5 linked regions of the Ovis aries genome follow. The protein of the gene in region 1 interacts with the protein of each later gene in a biochemical or structural test. Links are inferred from orthologs where the notes say so. Each region holds a gene or a part of one and is shown in the gene's direction. Other genes may lie near its edges. The genes, in order: MAPK14, MBP, MEF2A, DUSP10 and RB1.

The links.
Region 2: of the proteins of MAPK14 (region 1) and MBP, one has a biochemical effect on the other in vitro, tested with the Homo sapiens proteins (4 studies listed by BioGRID). The link is inferred for Ovis aries from reciprocal best matches to the Homo sapiens genes MAPK14 and MBP.
Region 3: of the proteins of MAPK14 (region 1) and MEF2A, one has a biochemical effect on the other in vitro, tested with the Homo sapiens proteins (2 studies listed by BioGRID). The link is inferred for Ovis aries from reciprocal best matches to the Homo sapiens genes MAPK14 and MEF2A.
Region 4: the proteins of MAPK14 (region 1) and DUSP10 form a complex in vitro, tested with the Homo sapiens proteins (2 studies listed by BioGRID, with this or other methods). The link is inferred for Ovis aries from reciprocal best matches to the Homo sapiens genes MAPK14 and DUSP10.
Region 5: of the proteins of MAPK14 (region 1) and RB1, one has a biochemical effect on the other in vitro, tested with the Homo sapiens proteins (3 studies listed by BioGRID and IntAct). The link is inferred for Ovis aries from reciprocal best matches to the Homo sapiens genes MAPK14 and RB1.

What each region holds. Positions count from the first base shown.
Region 1 is NC_056073.1:10,093,449-10,097,615, forward strand, and holds the start of MAPK14 (mitogen-activated protein kinase 14), read left to right. Parts: upstream 1-1,366; 5' UTR 1,367-1,368; coding exon 1,369-1,484; intron 1,485-4,167. UniProt on the Homo sapiens protein: Serine/threonine kinase which acts as an essential component of the MAP kinase signal transduction pathway.
Region 2 is NC_056076.1:2,418,084-2,422,217, forward strand, and holds the start of MBP (myelin basic protein), read left to right. Parts: upstream 1-1,323; 5' UTR 1,324-1,338; coding exon 1,339-1,528; intron 1,529-4,134. UniProt on the Homo sapiens protein: The classic group of MBP isoforms (isoform 4-isoform 14) are with PLP the most abundant protein components of the myelin membrane in the CNS. They have a role in both its formation and stabilization.
Region 3 is NC_056071.1:6,275,182-6,278,693, reverse strand, and holds part of MEF2A (myocyte-specific enhancer factor 2A), read left to right. Parts: intron 1-1,055; coding exon 1,056-1,182; intron 1,183-3,512. UniProt on the Homo sapiens protein: Transcriptional activator which binds specifically to the MEF2 element, 5'-YTA[AT](4)TAR-3', found in numerous muscle-specific genes. Also involved in the activation of numerous growth factor- and stress-induced genes.
Region 4 is NC_056065.1:24,475,604-24,479,843, reverse strand, and holds the start of DUSP10 (dual specificity protein phosphatase 10), read left to right. Parts: upstream 1-1,440; 5' UTR 1,441-1,549; intron 1,550-3,731; 5' UTR 3,732-3,774; coding exon 3,775-4,240. UniProt on the Homo sapiens protein: Protein phosphatase involved in the inactivation of MAP kinases. Has a specificity for the MAPK11/MAPK12/MAPK13/MAPK14 subfamily. It preferably dephosphorylates p38.
Region 5 is NC_056063.1:18,563,845-18,567,356, forward strand, and holds part of RB1 (retinoblastoma-associated protein), read left to right. Parts: intron 1-238; coding exon 239-384; intron 385-1,854; coding exon 1,855-2,000; intron 2,001-2,640; coding exon 2,641-2,745; intron 2,746-3,368; coding exon 3,369-3,482; intron 3,483-3,512. UniProt on the Homo sapiens protein: Tumor suppressor that is a key regulator of the G1/S transition of the cell cycle. The hypophosphorylated form binds transcription regulators of the E2F family, preventing transcription of E2F-responsive genes.

The sequences.
Region 1 (4,167 bases):
GGTTATAATACCTTGCCCATTCACATTTATTATCTTGTTCAGCTTTCAGGTGGGAAATTTCAGGGCAGCAATTCTTTTTTGCATAAACTGGAACTAAGGTCTAAGAAAGGTCAATTGACTTGCCCAACAGGATACTGCCAGAAAACCACTATCTGCACTGTTCTTACTCTGAGAGGCATGATTACAATTCTTAAAACCCTCTTTGCTGGAAGCTCTTCAAGGTAGGAATCAGTTTCAAACCTTCAGGGTAAAGGTTTTAAAATGTTTCTCCAAGGGAGATACCAAGAACTTTTCTGAACCTGGCGCATTTTGTAAAAATGCACAGTCTTGGAGTCCCTCTGGGACCCATCTAATCAAACTCGCTGTTCATTTTTAAGCGCCCAAGGTGCTTCTTCTGCACGTAAAAGTTTGAGAACTACTAGAAGTGTCTGGGTGGAAAAACCTCAACCTTAATTCAGGGCTAATATTTACCTTTGAGACAGATTTCGTCAGCATTCCGAAGAGTAAGTGTATGTCCTTGAGCAGATGGGACTACAACGGCTTTCTGGCCGGAATCTTTCTCTTTTTTATGCAAGTACTTCTTGGAAATTGGGGGTTTTCCGCCGAGCAGGTGCTCAGCTGCTGGTGATTACCCACCGTTTAAAGGTCTTTTGGCTCTTTTCCCAGACACCCGATTGATTTGTCACTGTCTCTTTCCAACAGGGAGCCAAGCACTTGCCCCGCCGACCACGATGGGGCGCGCGCGGCCTGTATCGTCTGCTTCTCCGCTCCTTCCCGGGTCCGCCTTCGCGCGCTAAAGGAGAGCAATCCCTGGGAGTTCCTGCCTCTAGGGGCCAGCTGTTGCTCTCTTCTCGCGAGAATTACTTCTCCCAAGCTCTCCCTTCATCAACCCCCCTCCCGCGGGCAGGTTCCATATTGGGTAAAATCTCGGCTCGAGGAGAGGTCCGGGAGCTGTTCTCGCGAGAGCACGGCGGGAGGCTCCTGTTCGCTGGCTCTGGGAAAGGCGACCACTGGAAGCTCCGCGGGCGCTGCAGCTGGAGCTGTGACCCCGCCGCGCAGCCGGGAGTCGGCCGGGTGTGGAGAGAGCGCAGGGAGAGCTGGGCGGGGCGCCAGCCCAGGGCCCCGGAGCGTGCCCCGGCCCTTCGCAGTGCTTCCCCCGCCGTCGGTGAGGCGCGTCCAGCCGCTGCGGCTGACAGGGGCCGCGCGCGCGCGCGGGCTTCTTCAGGGTCGCCGCAGCCGCACCTGCGCGGGCGGCCAGCGCAGGGGTCCCCGCCCGGCCGGGCGGGCTACGAGGTCAGGGGAAGCGGGTGCGGGTGCAGGCGGGGCCCTGCAAGGGCCACCTCCTCGCCCCGCGGCCACCGCTGGAAGATGTCTCAGGAGAGGCCCACGTTCTACCGGCAGGAGCTGAACAAGACCATCTGGGAGGTGCCCGAGCGTTACCAGAACCTGTCCCCGGTGGGCTCCGGCGCCTATGGCTCTGTGTGGTGAGTGTCACCGGGCCGGGGGCCTCGCTGGGCCGGGTGTCTCCGTATGCCCTGGAGTCAGGCCTGCCCCCACGGCTCAGCAATGCACCCAGCGGCAGGAATTTTCCTTGGGGGGAGGGCATCCCAGCCCTCTTCGACCCCTGTCCTGCACTCCCTGTCCCCCTTGCACCCCCACCCTGCACGCCCACGTAGATGGTCAGCTGTGTGTAGGACGCAGGTCCGCTGTGGGCGGTGGGTGATGGTGTTGGAGCCGGGCCCTGACTCGCACCCTGCGCGTTCCCTTGGGGGTGGGGGTGGGGGTGGGGGGGCGGTGCTGCTACGGGGGCAGGAACAGGGGTCCCTCTTCGGAGGTCTCTCCCTGCTGGCATCGAGCAGAAGGACTCTCTCGAGATGTGCCTGCCCTCGGAGCAGACAAGCCCGGGAAGCTGCCCGGAGAAGCAGAAGGGCAAAGCTCGACTGCGGTCATCTGAACAAAACTGAGGACGAAGGGCGTTGAGTTCGGGCTTTTTTGCAAACCTCTGTCGAAATTGCATTTTGAGAAGGGTTCTTTTTGAATTCGCACTTGAATTAGCAGCTATCCAGGGAGCTTAAAATACCGACTTTATCTCGGTGAGCCCTGTGCCAGCTTGAGTGGTGTGTTTCCGATTCAGTTGAAAGCGTATTTCCTTTTCGCAGAGTGGGGGGTGGTGGTAGTGCCTGCAGCTTGAGAAGCTGGCGGCCTCGCTGATTAGTCACATACCACTGCTCATTTAAGTATTGTTTGACAAAACGATTTTCTCCTTTGGAGCAAGTGAGGTTCAGATCCGTTGGACGCCCTCAAGATCAAAAAGTTTTTAACAATGCTGCGATGTATTATAAATATTTTTTAATCGTGATAATTCTTGTGAAACACTGTGTTTTTAAAGTCCTTTAGAGGGTTTGCAGAGAACTTAATCTGCACTTAAGGCCTGAGAGGTACATAATGGTTTTCATGGGATATGGAATATATAGCAAAAGAAGGAAGAGACACTTTTCAGCTTTAATTCACACTATGAATGTCTTTTAAATGAAACGCTACTGTAAAATTTCCAGACTCAGTTCACTAACTTTTCTAACTTCTAAGGTTTTATACACTGTATTTTAGATTTTGTGTAATTTGAGAGCTGACCTGAAGCTAATTCATGTAATTCCTGTGCATGCATTATTTGCAAAGAGGTCTACAAAATTAGTTTTTTGTTTCGGGGCAGGTTCCAGGCTTTTAGACTTGGTAATCTTTGAATATAATTCCTGTGTTTCTTAAAGCCCCAGCATGAATTTCCTGTTTGGTAGAATCTTCTGGGTAATTGAGATTGTGCAATTGTGTCCAGCAACAGATCATATTGCGTTTTCTAGTTCAGGCTGCTTGAGTGATGTCGCTGATGGCCCTATGCTTGACATCTTTTTTCCATTTTTATAGCGTGCTGTTGATTCGCTAATTTTCGAAGATGTGTTTGGATCATTGCTGCTTTAATAGCTCACTTGTTTACGGCCAGTTTTCATTCTGGAATTGACACATTAATTTTTGTGGTACTGAATTTTTGTTTCCTATCATTGTTGTTTAAACTTTAGTGGAGTGATACGGCTCAACTGTGGGGAGTTAGTGAACTGCTTGCAAGGTTTCCCTACAGTTGATGTGAGTAACTCAGCCCTGGCACTGGAGATCCAGTGAAGTGCTGATAAAACATGAACTCCACATTTTTTAGTGCTTTATTTTTCTGGTTTATAGAAGCCATCAAAACTGACACTTGGAAGTAATTTTGTTAAACAGGTTTTTAAAAGTAGGTAGTACATTCACATTGTATAAAATGTAAAAGGCATAGAAAGACAGTGAAAAGTTTCCATTCTCTTTGTCCAGCTGGACTAGTTCTTTTCTCAAGAGACCACCCCTGTTAAGTTTCTTGTGTGTCTTTCTGTGGAGGCAGTTCTGCTAAGGTTGTTTAAGGTGTAACCTATAACATATTGGTGGAGAAAAATAACCAATATTATGTGACAGTTGACCGTAAACAAGTATAGTTGATTTTGGATTGAAAATATCAGAATTTACATTCACATGTGTTATCTCATTCAGAGTAGTTATTTCAAGTTGTTCTTTCAGTCAGCAGCTTTTAGGTGTGGCAGAAAAAAAAAATGTTTTTTAAACTTCTCTTAGAATCCACTTTGGAGCCTGTGTTATTTTTCACTCTCTTCATTTTTTTTTTAGAGCAGATTTGATTTTAGGAAATAACGAAGTTAGATTGAATCCAAATCATTTAGAGAATTTGGGCTCAAGTCTGGTGAAAAAGATCAGGCAGCCAGGCTGGTGATACTGTTTGAGGTCAAATAGGAGTTGTAACCGTAAAGTAATGACACAGAATTTCCTGTGGGACTTGTAGAACTGGATTGAAGTCTGTTCCAAAAAAGAATCTCTGAAAGTATTTCAAGGAATGCAACATCACTGAAATAATGTGTCAGTTTCCTAATTTGATTGCTCTGAAGTGTGATACACTTTGATGTGTTAACTTTAAAAATTAAATAATAAGCCAATTTTCAGTGTTTTCATTTGTACTAAGTATCTAGTAACGCAAGTATGATAACTAATCGTGAATGAAAGATCAAGAAATCAAAATAGAACTTTGAGTATTAGAGTTTTACAAACATACCTTTCCTTCTTAAGGGGTAAAGGGAA
Region 2 (4,134 bases), on another chromosome or scaffold:
GCTGGCATCGGTGACGTTTCTACAAGCAGGCAGCAGGGCAAACATTGCTGCTCCCCTGTGGCCTGGGCTCCCCAGTGTTCAGCCCTCACTGACCTGTGCAGGTCAGAAGGCCATCCTCCTGTTTCCTGGTCACTCCAGGAAGACATCTGGGGGAAGCAGATGAGATGTGGTTTGTGATGCTCAAGTGAAAGTCGCTCAGTCATGTCCAGCTCTTTGCAGCCCCATGGACTGTAGCCCAGCCAGGTTCCTCTGTCCGTGGGATTTCCCAGGCAAGAATACTGGAGTGGGTTGCCATTCCCTTCTCCAGGGGATCTTCCAGATACAGGGATCGAACTGGGGTCTCCTGCATTGCAGGTGGATTCTTCACTATCTGAGCCACCTAAAACTGACTTCCATGTGGAACCTAGTATATATGGGGGTGGGGGGTGGGTTGCATTTTAAGAGTGACTGGAGTCAGGGACCTGGGAGTCAGGGAGCTTCTGGGGTCTGTCAGTGCCCTGAGCGTCCTTGGATTCCTCCAGCTCCCCTACCGGCACCCAGCCACCCTCTACTGCAAGGAGGGAAGGCCCCACAGAAAACCGGGAAACAGGTAAACTTCACCTTCTGCACAGCCCGCGTCACTGCTCAGCTGTCTTCCTGACCTCCCATCTCCAACTCCAGAAACCCCCAGACGAATCTTTTCCGAGGAAAGAAGCAAATGTTTCTGCAATGGTGGACACCGTTCTGGTGGCATTACCAGCCCTGGAACGTGGTTCACAGACCCCCGGTTTGTGAGGGCTGGCTGGGACAGGTGGCCCTGAAGCCACACTGGGCGCTGGCTCTCCTCGCGCGCTCTGCCCGCCCAGGAGACCCGGGTTGAGCCTTGCCAGGGGTCAGACTTCCGCTCCCCCGGGGAAACAGTGAGGGTCCCCGCCGGCTCCCGGGAACTATCAGATCAGACCCCCGACCTGGAATCTAAGTCGTGAGGACTCCAGCGTCTCCCCCAACGCCTCCTATTTTTCCACCATCAGGAGGTCGAGAATCCGGGGTGGGGGTCGGGGGAAGGGCCATCTGACTGTGTGCAGGTGACTGACGTCCAAAGGACAGTCTTCCTTCGGACCAAGAACTCGACACTGACCGCAAGCCAACAGATGCTCAGGCCGCAGACCCCGGGGCGCGCCCTCCCGCTGTGGCGCCGCTCTCCGGCGAGCACCTGTCTGTAGGCTGGATGCACGAGGACCTCCGGGCGTTCTCAAGGGGCCAGTCTTGCGGCGGCCCTGAACCCCGAGCCCGCGCAGCAGAGTCAGCCGGGCGGCCGCGCTTGGCCCCTCGCCGCCCGCGGAACGGGGCGTGGAGCAGATGCTATCGCTGGTCCCTCCCCGCGCTCGGGCGGGGTGGTTCGCAGGCTCAGCCGCGAGCGGAGGCTCTAGAGCCGCAGTTCAGCCCGGGCCGGAGTCCGCGCCGCCCAGGGCAGCCCCGCGCGGGGCCCGCGTGCGCCCGGAGCCCGCGAGGCGGAGCCGCGGAGAGGCGGTCGGCGCGCGGGCGGCAGGTGGGAGGCCCGGCTCCCGAAGGCAGTGTTTACCTGGCTCGCAGGAAGCCCGGGAGGCGGGGGAGGAGCGGCGGGCGCGCCGGGCCCTCGGAGCTGCAGCCAGACTGCGCCGCCGCGCCAGCGAGGACGAGCCTGCGGCCCCGGCGACCGCGGCCGCGACCCCGAAGGCGGCGCCGGAGCCCCGGGACCCCGCGCGCTTGGGGCCCCGGCGGCGGGAGGCGGCCCGGACCCCGCGGCGCCCGCGGCCTGGAGAGACGATCGCCGCGCGGTGGGTGACCTCGCCGGGGGCGGGCGGGTGCCTTTGTCTGCGCCCTCGGAGCGGGGACGCGGGAACGGGGCGCAGGGCTTCCCCGGGCGGCCGCGCAGGTGGCGGCAGGTGGCACCCGGGCGGCCACTCTGCGAGGGGTGAGCGCGGGTGTAGACGCCGACCCGGAGCGGCGGGGCTGTCCCCGACGGGTGTCCAGGTGTGGGCAAGGCCGGGTCGGGGGCCGGGGTCGCGGGCAGAGCGTAGGAGGCGCTCGGGGTGGAGTTTTGGGTGGGAGGTGGCAAAGGTCAAGGAGGCCACCCTGGGCGGTGCGGGACCGCTGCGAGCTTCAGGGCAGGCCGGGGTACCCGCCGCTTAACGCGCCCCGTAAGGATACGTCTGGAGCTTACCGCCGACTCCTGCCTGCCCCCTCCCCCAGCCCGGGCGAAAACCAGTTTCCCTTTGAACGCCGAGGGCGGCGACAGGCGACGCTCCGGGCTTCCGCCTTCCGGAGGCCTGGCCTGGCTCCGCCGCGCCGCCGCGTCCACCTGCGCCCACCTGCGCGCCTGGCGCCCGGGTGTGAAGCCCCCCCTGGGCCCGGGACTGGCCGGCGTCCCGAGGGTGCCGCGTGCTCTGCACGATCCCCAGGCACCCGGTGGCTCTGGCTCCTCTGGACTGCTGGGGGCACTGCCTCGTTTCTCCCAGGCTCTCCTTTCTCCTCTCCTTTCGGAAGGCAGAGGGTGGGGTTGGAGAAGCCTTGGAGTTTCTCTGGGGATCTCAGTAGGACTCTGGCAGGAAACAAGCGCCTTTGGGTTTCTGGTTCTCTGTTTTCCAGTAGCGACAAGGTGAGGGAGTCCATACCGTGAGTTCACAACCTCTGCAGCGCGGCTGGAGTGTGTCTGGGGAGACCCAGACCCGGTTGGGGGCGCTGGCTGTTCTGACAGGGACTCCACACCTGGCCTGGAGAGATTCTCAGAGGAAGGGCGCTTTAGGGTGTGTCCCATTTAAGACATGTGGCTTTTGGACAAGACCCCCCAGCCCAGGGAAACGGTTTGCAGAGTATGGCCCAGGAGTCTGCGACACCCCGAGAGCTGGGCTCAGTCCTGCCCCCGGCTCCCTGGCAGAGTCACGCTGGAGTGCTGGGGGCCTTCGTGGACGTGGGGAGCTGAGAGGGGTGCAGACCCAGACGGAGCTAGGCCGGAGCAGCCCTTCAGGAAGGGATGGTCAGCACTGGGTCGCAGCCTCACAGCTGTTTCTCCCAGTTCAGGGGAGGGGCCGTCTGTTCTCCAACTTTTTTTTTTTTTTCCAAATGGGATAAACCAAAACCTGAAAGGAGGGAATCCAGTTAAATATTATGTAAAATGGTGGCTGATAGTAGCTCCCAATGGTTTAACTGTTCCGAAATGACTACCTTTACTAACTCAGGGTTAAACAAAAGCTATTTGGTTCAAATTCACTTTAAAAACTTTCCAAACTATCCCATTTCTGCCCAAAGACAAGAACACTTTTGAGTCACTTGTGCTGTGATTTGGTGTTGAACCGCTCCAGCCTGGTTTGGACTGGGAATGGCTCTGGCCACTTGCCCTGAGGAAAGGCATCCATGAAGGCGGAAAAGGGCAGAGACCAAGGTTTCTGGCGATTCTTCCTTTTTCCTCCTGAATTTTTAAACATTAATGGGAGGTTACGTTGTTTGACTTTTAGTTTCTCTCTCGAGTCTTTAAAAATCTGACACTGGATCACAGCTGTCCCTGGGCCTTTTCTCCCCAGGTATCCAGGTAGCGTTTCTGACCACTTCCCAGTGGCCAGGCCATCTTCTGAGAGCTGCGTATCATTGCATTAACAGGTGTAATACCCTAGGATGCCCTCATTTGATGTAACTAGCCTATTAGAACTCTCATTTTCACTGAGTAGGAAACCAAGGCACAGAGATCCCCTGGGGGCGCCCAGGGCTCAGTTCCAGAAATCTGACACCAGCCCCTGTTGCTGCCCTTCAGGGCGAAGAGGGCAACTTGCAACACCCACCGAGCTGCCTTTTTCTTCTCTGGCTTCCCTGGTGGCTCAGAGGTTAAAGCCCCTGCCTGCAGTGCGGGAGACCTGGGTTTGATCCCTGGATTGGGAAGATTCCCTGGAGAAGGAAATGGCAATCCACTCCAGCATTGTTGCCTGGAGAATTCCTTGGATGGAGGAGCCTGGTGGGCGATAGTCCACGGGGTCGCAGAGAGTCGGACACAACTGAGCTTCATTTCACTTCTGTTTAAAACCCCACCACTAACGGGTGGCTACACCCAGCAAAGCGTGCTTCCTCTGCAGGGTGGTGGGACTGGAAGGCTGCTGTCTCGTCTCTGTTCGTCACCTCTTCCCT
Region 3 (3,512 bases), on another chromosome or scaffold:
GAACTTGGAGTCTCTGTTTCGCTGATTCTCAGTTTTAGAACGTGTTTGCTTGAGGCAGCATTGTGAGAAACTGCTCTTTGATACCCATACCCTTACAGAATGGTGACTGTCTTAAACTGACTTGATTATTCTGTAGTTCATTTTGTTTCACTCCCACTGTAGATGGGATGCTGTGTAGATGCAGTCGGTCAGCAAGCATTTACCGCTGGTCATCCGCAGCCCTATCAGAAGTATTATATTTTATTTTAAAACTCTCTACTCAAAGCTTCTCCATTCATAAGCGTCCGGAGAAGGGATACATGGCTGAGTCTGCCATTAAAAAACAGGTCAATGGCGGATGATGGGAGAGGCTCTGCATGTATAGATAGGGTCAGGGAGTATATGGTAAATCTCTGTACCTTTTCATCAATTTTTCTGTGAACCTAAAACTGTTCTTTAAAAAAATCTTAATAAAAATTTATATCTAAATACATACACATATACATATTTGTGTGTTTACTGCAGGATCTCGGGGAAGGAAATATGAATACAAGCTGCAGTTTAGTAAGCTATGACTTAAAACCCTGTTAACTTGTAAATCCAGCAAATAGAAGTAGTTTTGAACTCTCTTGGACTCTCGTGGACTTATAATCTCTATATACACAGATAACCTTGCTATCCTCAGGTATTTAAAATCTACACATATCTTACTTAGGTAGGGTAGCCTGGCAGTCTTTATAAGTTGGGGCCTCAAGTCCTCATTTATGTTAGCATATAAGTGTTATCAGCTCTAATGCAAGTTTCTATTTTAAGGATGTATCTCTGACATCAATAAACTCTCTGAAAAAGGCACTAGGGGAAAATGAATGATTAATGCAAAACACATCCCTTAAAATTAAATATTTAGTTATTCTCATTAGTATTTTTAAAGTTTTCACATGATCACTTGCTTCAGGGAATGATGTTCACATCATAAAACTGTGAAAAATGTCACTTTTAAATTGAACATTCTATTTTAAATATTAAGCTTAAATATAAATACTCATAGAATAACACTTTTTTCTACTCTCTCACAGAATACCCAAAGGATAAGCAGTTCTCAAGCCACTCAACCCCTAGCTACCCCAGTGGTGTCTGTGACAACTCCAAGCCTGCCTCCGCAGGGCCTGGTGTACTCAGCAATGCCGACCGCCTACAACACAGGTGAGCCTGCCCTGTTGCCTTTTGTGGGGTTTTTTGCTTTGTTTTGTTTCAGTGTGTGCTTTTGTGATTTAAAAAAATATATATTTATTGAAATAAATTATTTCAAGTTTCTTAGATTCACAGTTGGATATGTTAATGAAATACATTGTACACATTGATTATAGAAAGATTCCCCAGCATGAACTTCTGCTTACCCCTGAGAGACAGCTAGCTGTTATCAAATTATGACGCACAGCAAACGGAGCAAAACAGTTGGTGTTTTCTATGTAGTTCTTGTTACATAGCATCTCACTCTTCCAAGCTTCTGAAATAAGATGTTTTTCTGTATGCTATGTCAACCTGCCTCGGGAAAGGCTGCATCCCTTGGGACCTCAGGACTCAGGGAGGTGGATCTAGGTGGCTGTGTCAGCAGGTCACAGTTTCCTCCATGTGATAGCCCATTTGGTTTATACTGTTTGTGCCTCGGGGGCAAGACCAGGAGCTTTCTTACTTCTCTTCAAAGCCAGTCACTCCTCACCTCTGAGGCGAGCTTTTCACTCATTCATGTAATTTAGACTTTTCATCCACAAATACCCTATTTAGAGAGTATATTAGGTAAGTTTAAAAATACTGCAGTGATTGGAGGGGTGCTTTCACTGTGTGGAGAGCCCAGTGTATGACGGTTTCTCTAGATGTGCCATTTAGGGATTGGCAGAGGACACGTCGGGGAGCTTCCCTTTCTCACTAGCTGAGCCAAACACCTGATGCCTCAAAAGGTGGAGGAGCGAGGGAAAGAGTTAAAAATACCTTGCCAGTTTTTCAGAGACCACAGGGCAGGGCATTTATTCTTTTGTGATTCTGATAAACAGATGAATAAAGATCATCTAATTTCAGACTTCAGGGTAAATGCTGTAGCACAGTCTTTCACCCTGATCTGTGGAGCTCCCTGAGGGGTGCAGAGCCATTGATACATTTGATTGCTGCTTTAATTCCAAGTAGTTCTTTTAAAACAAAAACAACTTTAAATGGTTTTGTTGAAAAGAAAGCTTCTTAGGAAATGTCTACTACCTTTTCCAACAGTCAATATTAAAAAAAATATCCAAATCCATCAACTAAATCTAGAGTAAACCCAGGGATTATATGTTCATAGAAATTCTGTTTCATTGCCCTGGTCACCAGCTATATGAGCAACACTGGTCTAGGGACATACATTTTCTCCCAGGTTTATTCTGGAAAAGGAGACATACCCAAGCTGGTAACCTATGGAGGGGAAGTCCTGAGTTGTTGAGGTTACCAGTTTATACTCTGATCTTGAGAAGGTGAGGAAGGTAGAAAATTTGTGAGCTAGAATGTTCAGAGGAGCGTTGGCCAAGGAGATGGTTCTTGAGCTGGGTGTCACCGTTACATTACAGTTTACTGAGCATTTCATGACAGGTTTTTCCAATAGAAAACTTAGATATCCCACTATATTTGTTTTTAGAAATGCCATTGGCTTTAAAGAATATTTTTTCCAAAGTCCAGAAGCAATTACCAAAACACAGAAATGGAGTCACATTCTCTTGAAACCATCCCTTATCAGTCTCACTCCTGTAACTACTTACTTCTCTCTCAGAGCACCTGTTCTGTTTAATGTTACCACATTATCTTTAATGTATTTATCTTTTTAAAACATGCATCTATAATTTGTCTTTCATTAGTATATCAACTACCTTTCTGTACATAGTTAAGAATCAAACAAGTGCCAGTTAGTCAGTACAGGGATGAATAAGTGAGCAACATTTCAAAAAGTACAGTAGTTCTGTGTAGAGGAATCATATAGACACTTCCTCATGCCCATCTGTAAGATCACTCCCAGCTTCTCAACTTATTCATGGATCCATTCAGCACAGATATAGAGTGTGTTCTGTGTGACAAGCACTGTGTCAGGCACTGGAAATACACAGGAGCACAGTTAACAATGGAACGTAGGGTCTATCAGAGGAGAAACACACAAGACAAATAGCTCTAGGAGTAATTTATCACCTTCGTGTTAAGGGCCATACTGAAGCTTTGACCTGAAGAGGCTTGGACCTGCCTCAGCCAGGCAGAGTAGGGAGAGTGCTCCAGGAATGGGGAGCTCTGTGTGCAGAGACAGCAGGAGCATGGCTGATGGGTCTGGATGGCTGTAGAGTTGAAACCACAGAGGCAGGTTGGGATGCATACACCTTGCTGAGGACTTTTGGACATGATCTTGAAAGCATTGGGAAGCCATAAAAAGGTTTTAAGCAGAGCGGTATCATGACTATATTTGTTTTGTATGATCACTTAACTACAGCACTCATGGGGCCACCACACAATATGATAGTCCAACT
Region 4 (4,240 bases), on another chromosome or scaffold:
ACACCCGCCTCCAAACCCCCTGTTTTGCTCAGATGGTCACCTCTGACCGCGACCCCTCCGGCGACGAAATACAGGAGAACCTAGAGGGGCGGCGCCGCCTCCAGTTCTCCGTCGGCTCCACTCAAGCTGGTTATTTCTTCTCAGCTCCAGCTCCTTTCCTCCAGCCGCTGCTGTTCCAGAAGCTCCGGGCTGTTGGGTCCTCGGCTCCCAGGGGCCCTACACGGTGGCGGGCAACTGAGGAGGGGCGAGGGGAAGGCGGGCCTCGGGCCGGTAGCGCGCAGCTCTGCGGAGCGCGGCGCGGGGACCTTGCTCGCTGGGTGGAAGAGGGGGCGCTAGCGGGCAGGAGGCCTTGCCCGGGGGCCGGGGCGGGCGCGCGGGCTCTGGGGTGACGCCTGTGCAGCCCCTCGGGGACGCGCCCTCTGTAGCTTCTGACTGGGAACCAGACTGCCGCCTCCGAGCAGCCCTCCGCATCACTGCCTTCGAGCTACGGGTGGAGCCCCGGGAGGCAGGCGAGGGAAGCGGGGGCGTGACTGGGGCGCTGAAGTAGGCGAGCCACAGGGCGCCGCGCCACAGCCGCGCCGGGCAGCAGTAGGGCAGCCGGAGGGGCAGCGACATCTGCGGGCGGGCGGTCGATGCTTTCTGGCGGCGCGGAGCAAGCGGGGCGGCCCCGAGGACTCGGGCCGCGGCGAGGCTGGCGGGCCTCACTGCCGGTGGACGGACGGCAGACTTGCCAGTCCCGCTGGAGCCCAGGCCTCCAGCGCGTGGCCCCGGGCTCAGACTGTAGAAGAAGCGATGTCCCTGGCCGCGCTCTTACATTTATCCCCCTGCTCGGGTAGCTGGGCGACGTCCGTGAATCTTCGGTTTATCAGGTCACCTCGAGGGACTCAGGGAACCCGTTTTTCCAGCTGGGGATAGTGATTATTGTCGTTGCCTCTTGCCTTCAGAAAGTTATTCTGACACGGTTGATCAGCCAGCCAGAGTAAGAAGGGAAAATAAACAGCGTGGTCTGTCCCTTGGTGAGGCGATGTACAGGGATCCCGCCAAGTTCGCAGAGCCAGTTTTAGGCGGAGCGGCAAACACAGCCCATTGACAATTCAGCCCCGGAAAGGGTTAACTGCATCCTGCGGGTTCGGTTTACATGTAAATAGAGAGCAGCTGCTCCGCGCGGGCCCCAGTTGGCCCTTTTAAGTTTTTGATTGGTTGCCAATGACATCACCGTCCGTATTATAACACAGTGGACCCAAAGCGGCGTCGGATAAACCCTCCTTAAAGAGCCATGGCCACGCCCCGGCTCCGCCCCCTCCAGGTGCCCATTGGTCGCGGGCTGCAGCGAAGTAGCGGTCAGGTTTCTCCGGATTCTTATTGGTTCAACACGCCGTCGGTCGGCAGCCGGCCCGCCCCCTCAGAACCTTACATTTACAGTGTAGCAAAAGAGAAAGTAACTATGTTGCTGCTGGAGATCAATGAAGCCTAGTGAATGAGGGCTGAATGTGCGAATCCCTTGCTGAAGCGGAGCGCCAGATGGTGGAGGGTTACACTTATTTATGAAGTAAGTGGAAGTCACCGTGGCTACTCCTGAGAGTCCAGGGGTTTGAGGCGGTGTGAGTGTGAGTGAGTATGTATGTGGTGTGTGTGTGCGCGTGTGTGTTGCGATGTTTACGGAGGAGCCACAGCAGGTGAGGTTAAAGTGTTCCCGCTGTTGGCTCACGCCGCCCTGTGCGTTTACTCTCTCTGCAGTCTACTTGGACTGGGGGCGAAGGAAAAAATGAGGTTTGTTGGGATGCTTTGCGGCAGTTTTAAAGGCCAGGGACTTGTTAGTGCGCTGTGTTGCGAAGGAGGATGTTAAGTGCCCCGAAGTGGGGAAGCAGCATTCTCTGACCACTTAATTTTCTTTCCAGCCGCTAACTAGAGGTGGAAGGGCGACTAGAGAGGGAGGGGGATAGCTCAGTGTTTTTCGGGGAGGTTTCCTACAGGCTGTCTGGATGGTTTCACGGGCAATAGATATGCCCGACCCTCTGCTGCAGGGATGCAGGTCTCTTTATACACTCCGTGCGTGTGTGTATGTGTGTGTGAGAGAGAGCGAGCGTGTGTGCGCGCCGCGCACTCTGTGTGGAGGTGGGGGTCCCAGCTTATGTCTCCGTGAGCACGCTTCTGCGTCCCTCTCAAGGGAAATGGACTGTTGATCCTGGGACGTACCCTACCAGGTAACACAACAGCAAAGACTTTTCACCGCTGGGTCCAGCTGGGAAACAGTTATAGCTTCTGGAATAGTACTCGCTCTTCAAAAAATACTACGCAAGGGAGGAAGGGGCGGGGGAGGGAGGGAAGAAAGGAGAAAGGGAGGGAGAACAGGGGTTGGATTCTTCTTGCCCATCCAAAGGTGGTGAGAGAAAGCTGAGGCCAGCGGGGGGATCTGTGGATGTGATAGGTGCGTGCCCGTGTGTGTGTGTGTGTGTGTGTGTGTGTATTCTGCCTGTGACATTTTGGCTCTGTGTCTGAGAATGGTGACAGTCCTGTGTAGAGGGATGTTGGATGACATTTTTCCAGACATCTCTTAAAGTTGGTTTAGATGAGCTCCTCTTGCATGGCGTTTGGTGTCTCCTCTGTGTGTATGTCTAGCAGGAGAGGAGCCAGCAGGGCCCGGGAGTGGAGTGCCTCTATGCCCATGGGGAGGAAGGAACTGTCCCTTTGCAGGTACCCTCTCATGAGCCAGGACATAGACCCCTGTGGGTGACTCTTTACTTCTCACTGGGAAGTCTTTATGAATCCATCCTCTTGAAGAGGGGGCACGTCTGTGTGAGATCAAAAGATTATGCATAGTGGCTGCCTTCTGCTGAGAGAAGCTCTAGGATGTTCCTGTAGGGAAAGGAGGAGAATGGAGGGTTGAAGTGGTCCTTTCCTTAAAGGCAGGAGTGGAGTGGGTGGTGTGGCAAGGGAGACATCTGAGGGATGGATCTGTCAGGGTCAGGGTTTTCAAACCTGCTTCCCTAGCTTGAGGCTTCATTTTAGGGGACCAGTATGTAATGAAAGAGGAAATGCAGATTACTTTATAAATAAGAGGGCAATAGGAAACAAGGGAGGTTTTAATATGACTTTGTTGTGCTTTTCAAAGGACTTGGGAGAAAGAAAAGTAAGAATAGCTCAAAATTAAAGAGATTCACTTAGAGGGCTACTTTCATTCTGATGTGCAGAAAGTTGACATCTGCCCCTGATGTATATTTAGCTGCTGTATATTCCCATGAGCCTTGCCAGCACTCTTGGTCATTCCTTTGCCTTTGCAGTGGCTGAAGGAATTACATGGAAAGTATGCAAGGGTGGACGTATGGGTCCTTCTCAGATGATTGCAGTATATTTCTGCCCTGGAGATGAGGCCCAGAAGAGATGCCTCTTAAGAACCTTCCCTTCCATCTTGAGCTTTTCTGATCCTTTGTGCTTGTACTTTTTCTAAGGCTGAACTTGGATGTGGGTCCATGAAAGGTTGTTCAACATTTGCATAGACTATATCTAACCTTAGACTCAGCAAGGACAGGGGGTGGGGAGGGGGATGGTCCTCAGGCGTGCATCCTCTTTGAATCCATAGTGGTGAGTGTCAAGCTTTGAGTGACAGGAAACTGGGCACTTAGGACAACTTCACTAAGAGGGATGCAAAGTCCTTTCCTAGGGATTGGATTCGACTGCTTTTTGTGTCACATGACTTTATTCTTTCTTTCCCCCCCTCCCCTTCTTTACAGACTGTCTTGAGTTCTTCTTGAATTGCCAGTTTTCAGCCTCCTCATGCCTCCGTCTCCTTTAGACGACAGGGTAGTGGTGGCACTGTCTAGGCCCGTTCGACCTCAGGATCTCAACCTTTGTTTAGACTCTAGCTACCTTGGCTCTACCGCCCCTGGCAGTACCAGCCACCCTCCTGTCATCGCCACCACCGTTGTGTCCCTAAAGGCTGCGAATCTGACGTATATGCCCTCATCCAGCGGCTCTGCCCGCTCCCTGAATTGTGGGTGCAGCAGTGCCAGCTGCTGCACTGTGGCAACCTACGACAAGGACAATCAGGCCCCAACCCAGGCCATTGCCGCTGGCCCCGCCACCACTGCCATCGGAAGCTCCACCACCTGTCCTGCCAGCCAGATGGTCAACAACAATGAGAATGCAGGCTCTCTAAGTCCATCAGGTGGGGTGGGCAGCCCCGTGGCAGGGACCCCTAAACAGCTAGCCAGCATCAAAATAATCTACCCCAATGACTTGG
Region 5 (3,512 bases), on another chromosome or scaffold:
AATTTCTAGGAAAGGCCATTTATTAAAATAGGGTTAGAAATGATAACAGCAAGCCTAGTTTTCCTCATAAGCTCTCTTTTCCAACTTGTATTTAAATAGGACTTTGGTGTAAAACAGTGGATTAAATAGACAAGATGTGTTTGGATGCATGTGTCCAGCTGTGTGTGTTTGTGTATCTGTGAAAGAGAGAGATTCTGAGAAAACTTCACATGAAGACTTTTCCTTTGAATATATCTAGGTACCTTTCTCCTGTAAGATCCCCAAAGAAAAAAGCGTCAACTCCACGTGCAAATTCTACTCCAAATTCAGAGGCACAAGCAACCTCAGCCTTCCAGACTCAGAAGCCATTGAAATCTACCTCCCTTTCACTCTTCTACAAAAAAGGTTAGTAGATGATTACTTTGAAGATCGTGGACTCTGAAACCAGGCTGACTGGATTCAAATCTTTGCTCTTCGGCTTACTAGGTATGACTTTGGGCAAGTCACTTTAAAAGCTCTATGCCTCAGTTTCCTCATCCGTAAAATGGAAATAATAATAACCTACCTTATTTGGGTTTTGAGATAATTAAGTGAATGAATACATAAAATGCTTCCAAGAGTGTCTAGCACATAGTAAGCACTCAGAAAGTGTCAGATGTTGTTATTGTTGCTGCTTACTGTTACGCTTTCAAATTTATGCTCGGAAATATTTGCCCCTAACATTACTTCCTCTGTTGAGATGTGTACGTTGGGATTATACAATGGGTTGTGGCCTAATGCAGATGCATTTCCTGGTGACCAGGTTGTACAGCATTTTCTGATTGTGTGTGTGTGATGGGGTGGGGAGGTCATTTGGGTGTCTGTGCATGTACATGCAAGTGCACACCCACTTGAAGCTCTTTGAAGAAAGGTAGAAGGCCAGATTCCTCTGTGATAAATCTTATTTCTGACTTGGATAAAGCAAATATACTGAGCTTTATAGGCATGTTATAAGTCCTTGAATTAAAGCAGTGGTTCCAAAGTGTGGTCCCCAACCAGCAGAATCCACCTTACTCGATAAGCTGCAGAAAGGAGAATTTTTGTTTGAGCCCCTAATGCTAGAACTACTCGATCAGAGACTCTAGTAGGATGAGGAAATAATCCTTGTTTTAACAAGTCCTCAGTGCAAGTCTGATGTAAGCCAAAGTTGAAGACCAGTGCCAGTGGGATAAATTATTAACTAAAAAATTCTGATTACTTTATGCAAGTCTTTGACAGGTGCATTTAAACCAGATGGAGGAAAATTCAGTTTTGTGGATTACTTTTCTCCAACCTGTGTTCCAGTAGTATTTTTAAATAAACTTGCGCAATATATTTAATATCACAGTCATATTACCACTTAGGCAATCTACAAGTCTAGCATTTTTATAGAGAAATACACTATTTGTTTTTTGTTTTCAGGATTGAAAAAATTAAGGGAGTTTGGAAATTCTGTTATTTTAAAAAATAATTACTCTTGAATATTGATAAAGTATTCAACATCTGTGATGAGTGATTACCAATGAAACTGAAACAAACAGTATTTGGGTTGTCTAATTTCACAGTATCTTAGGATCTTTCTTCCTCTGATTTTCATTTCTGCTTCAACTTTATGCTATAATAATTCAGCAAAAGAATTATTTTTGCTGAATAGTATTTTCAGCCAAATATTGTTTTGCCTTCTGTGTATGTAGAATAGTCCTAAGACTAGAAATCATAAGGAAAATAGTGAGAAATCATAAGTCAACGTTAAATGCTATTTAACAGCATTTTATTATAACAGTTTAATATTTTGAAAATATCTACCTGTGATACAAAATTAAGAGTAAATATGATTAATTCCCCTTATTTTTCCAGTGTATCGACTAGCATATCTTCGACTGAACACCCTGTGTGCACGCCTTCTGTCTGACCACCCAGAGCTAGAGCATATCATCTGGACCCTTTTCCAGCACACACTGCAAAATGAGTATGAACTCATGAGAGACAGGCATTTGGACCAGGTAAGGAAATTATGCACTTCTCTTTTCTTCTCCTGCTTACTTGTTAGCTATGTACTGATTTCTTAAGAAAAGTTTGGATTCAAATGAGAAGCTGCATCAATGTAGTTAACATATATTTGCTTACTGGCTACCCTTTATATTTTTGCTGTATTTTTTACAAATGAGAGCTTTAGAGTTTGAGAATATTTCAGTATTTACTTATTTCATGACATGAAAGCTCTTGTTGCAGAAACCACTGAAGAAATTTTATCATAGGCGTTTTCTGTGTTGTTGTAAACTAGAATTCATTAGGTGTGGAAAAAGCATGAGGCGTAAGAATAGTTGATCTAAAACAGTGCCAAATGAGCTCAGGACAGGAAAAGATAATTCTGTGGGAGATTAAATTTCCTTTTTTTTTTTAACTGAAAGAAAGATAACAGTGTGTTTTAGACCACAGTTCAGTTCAGTCGCTCAGTCATATCTGACTCTTTGCCACCCCATGGACTACAGCACGCCAGGCCTCCCTGTCCATGAGCAACTCCTGGAGTTCACTCAGACTCATCATATCCATTGAGTCGGTGATGCCATCCAGCCATCTCATCCTCTGAGCACAGCCATGTAGCAAAACCCTGACTGCTTTTGTATCAAATTCATTTACTAGATTATGATGTGTTCCATGTATGGCATATGCAAAGTGAAGAATATAGACCTTAAATTCAAAATCATTGTCACAGCGTACAAAGATCTTCCTCATGCTGTTCAGGAGGTAGGTAATTTTCCATGATAAGAGTTTTCAAAAATATCCATTATCTATAATACGGATAACTTTAGTCATTAATTGTACCATATGTTCTGACTGATTTGTATAAATTTACATGTCCACTTTTAATTTTCATATTATTAGTTAATTATTTGTAGTTAAAATGTAATTGGGAAGCTGCTGCTGCTGCTGCTAAGTCGCTTCAGTTGTGTCCGACTCTGTGCGACCCCGTAGATGGCAGCCCACCAGGCTCCCCCGTCCCTGGGATTCTCCAGGCAAGAACACTGGAGTGGGTTGCCATTTCTTTCTCCAGTTGGGAAGCTAACACTTTAATATTCAAATTCATATTATAAAATAAATAGGGAACACTGTATTATGCCAATAAGCAGAATATTTGTAATAAACATATATATATATATACATAAAACACATACAGTATATATGTATGACTTTTCACTTCCAGTAGAACAGCTATAATCCAAGCCTAAAATGGCTTCTTTAGATTGTTTTTTCCTATAAAGTAATGCATCTTTTTACTGTTAAAAAGTATCATGAACTATTAAAATAGAAACTCTAAAGAGATAAATTCCCAAATTCATTTAACAAGTATTTTTGCTCTTCTTCCTCAGACATTCAAACGTGTTTTGATCAGAGAAGAGGAGTATGATTCCATTATCGTATTCTATAATTCAGTCTTCATGCAGAGACTGAAAACAAATATTCTGCAGTATGCTTCCACCAGGGTATGTTGAAGGCATCCTTTATTTGGGCAA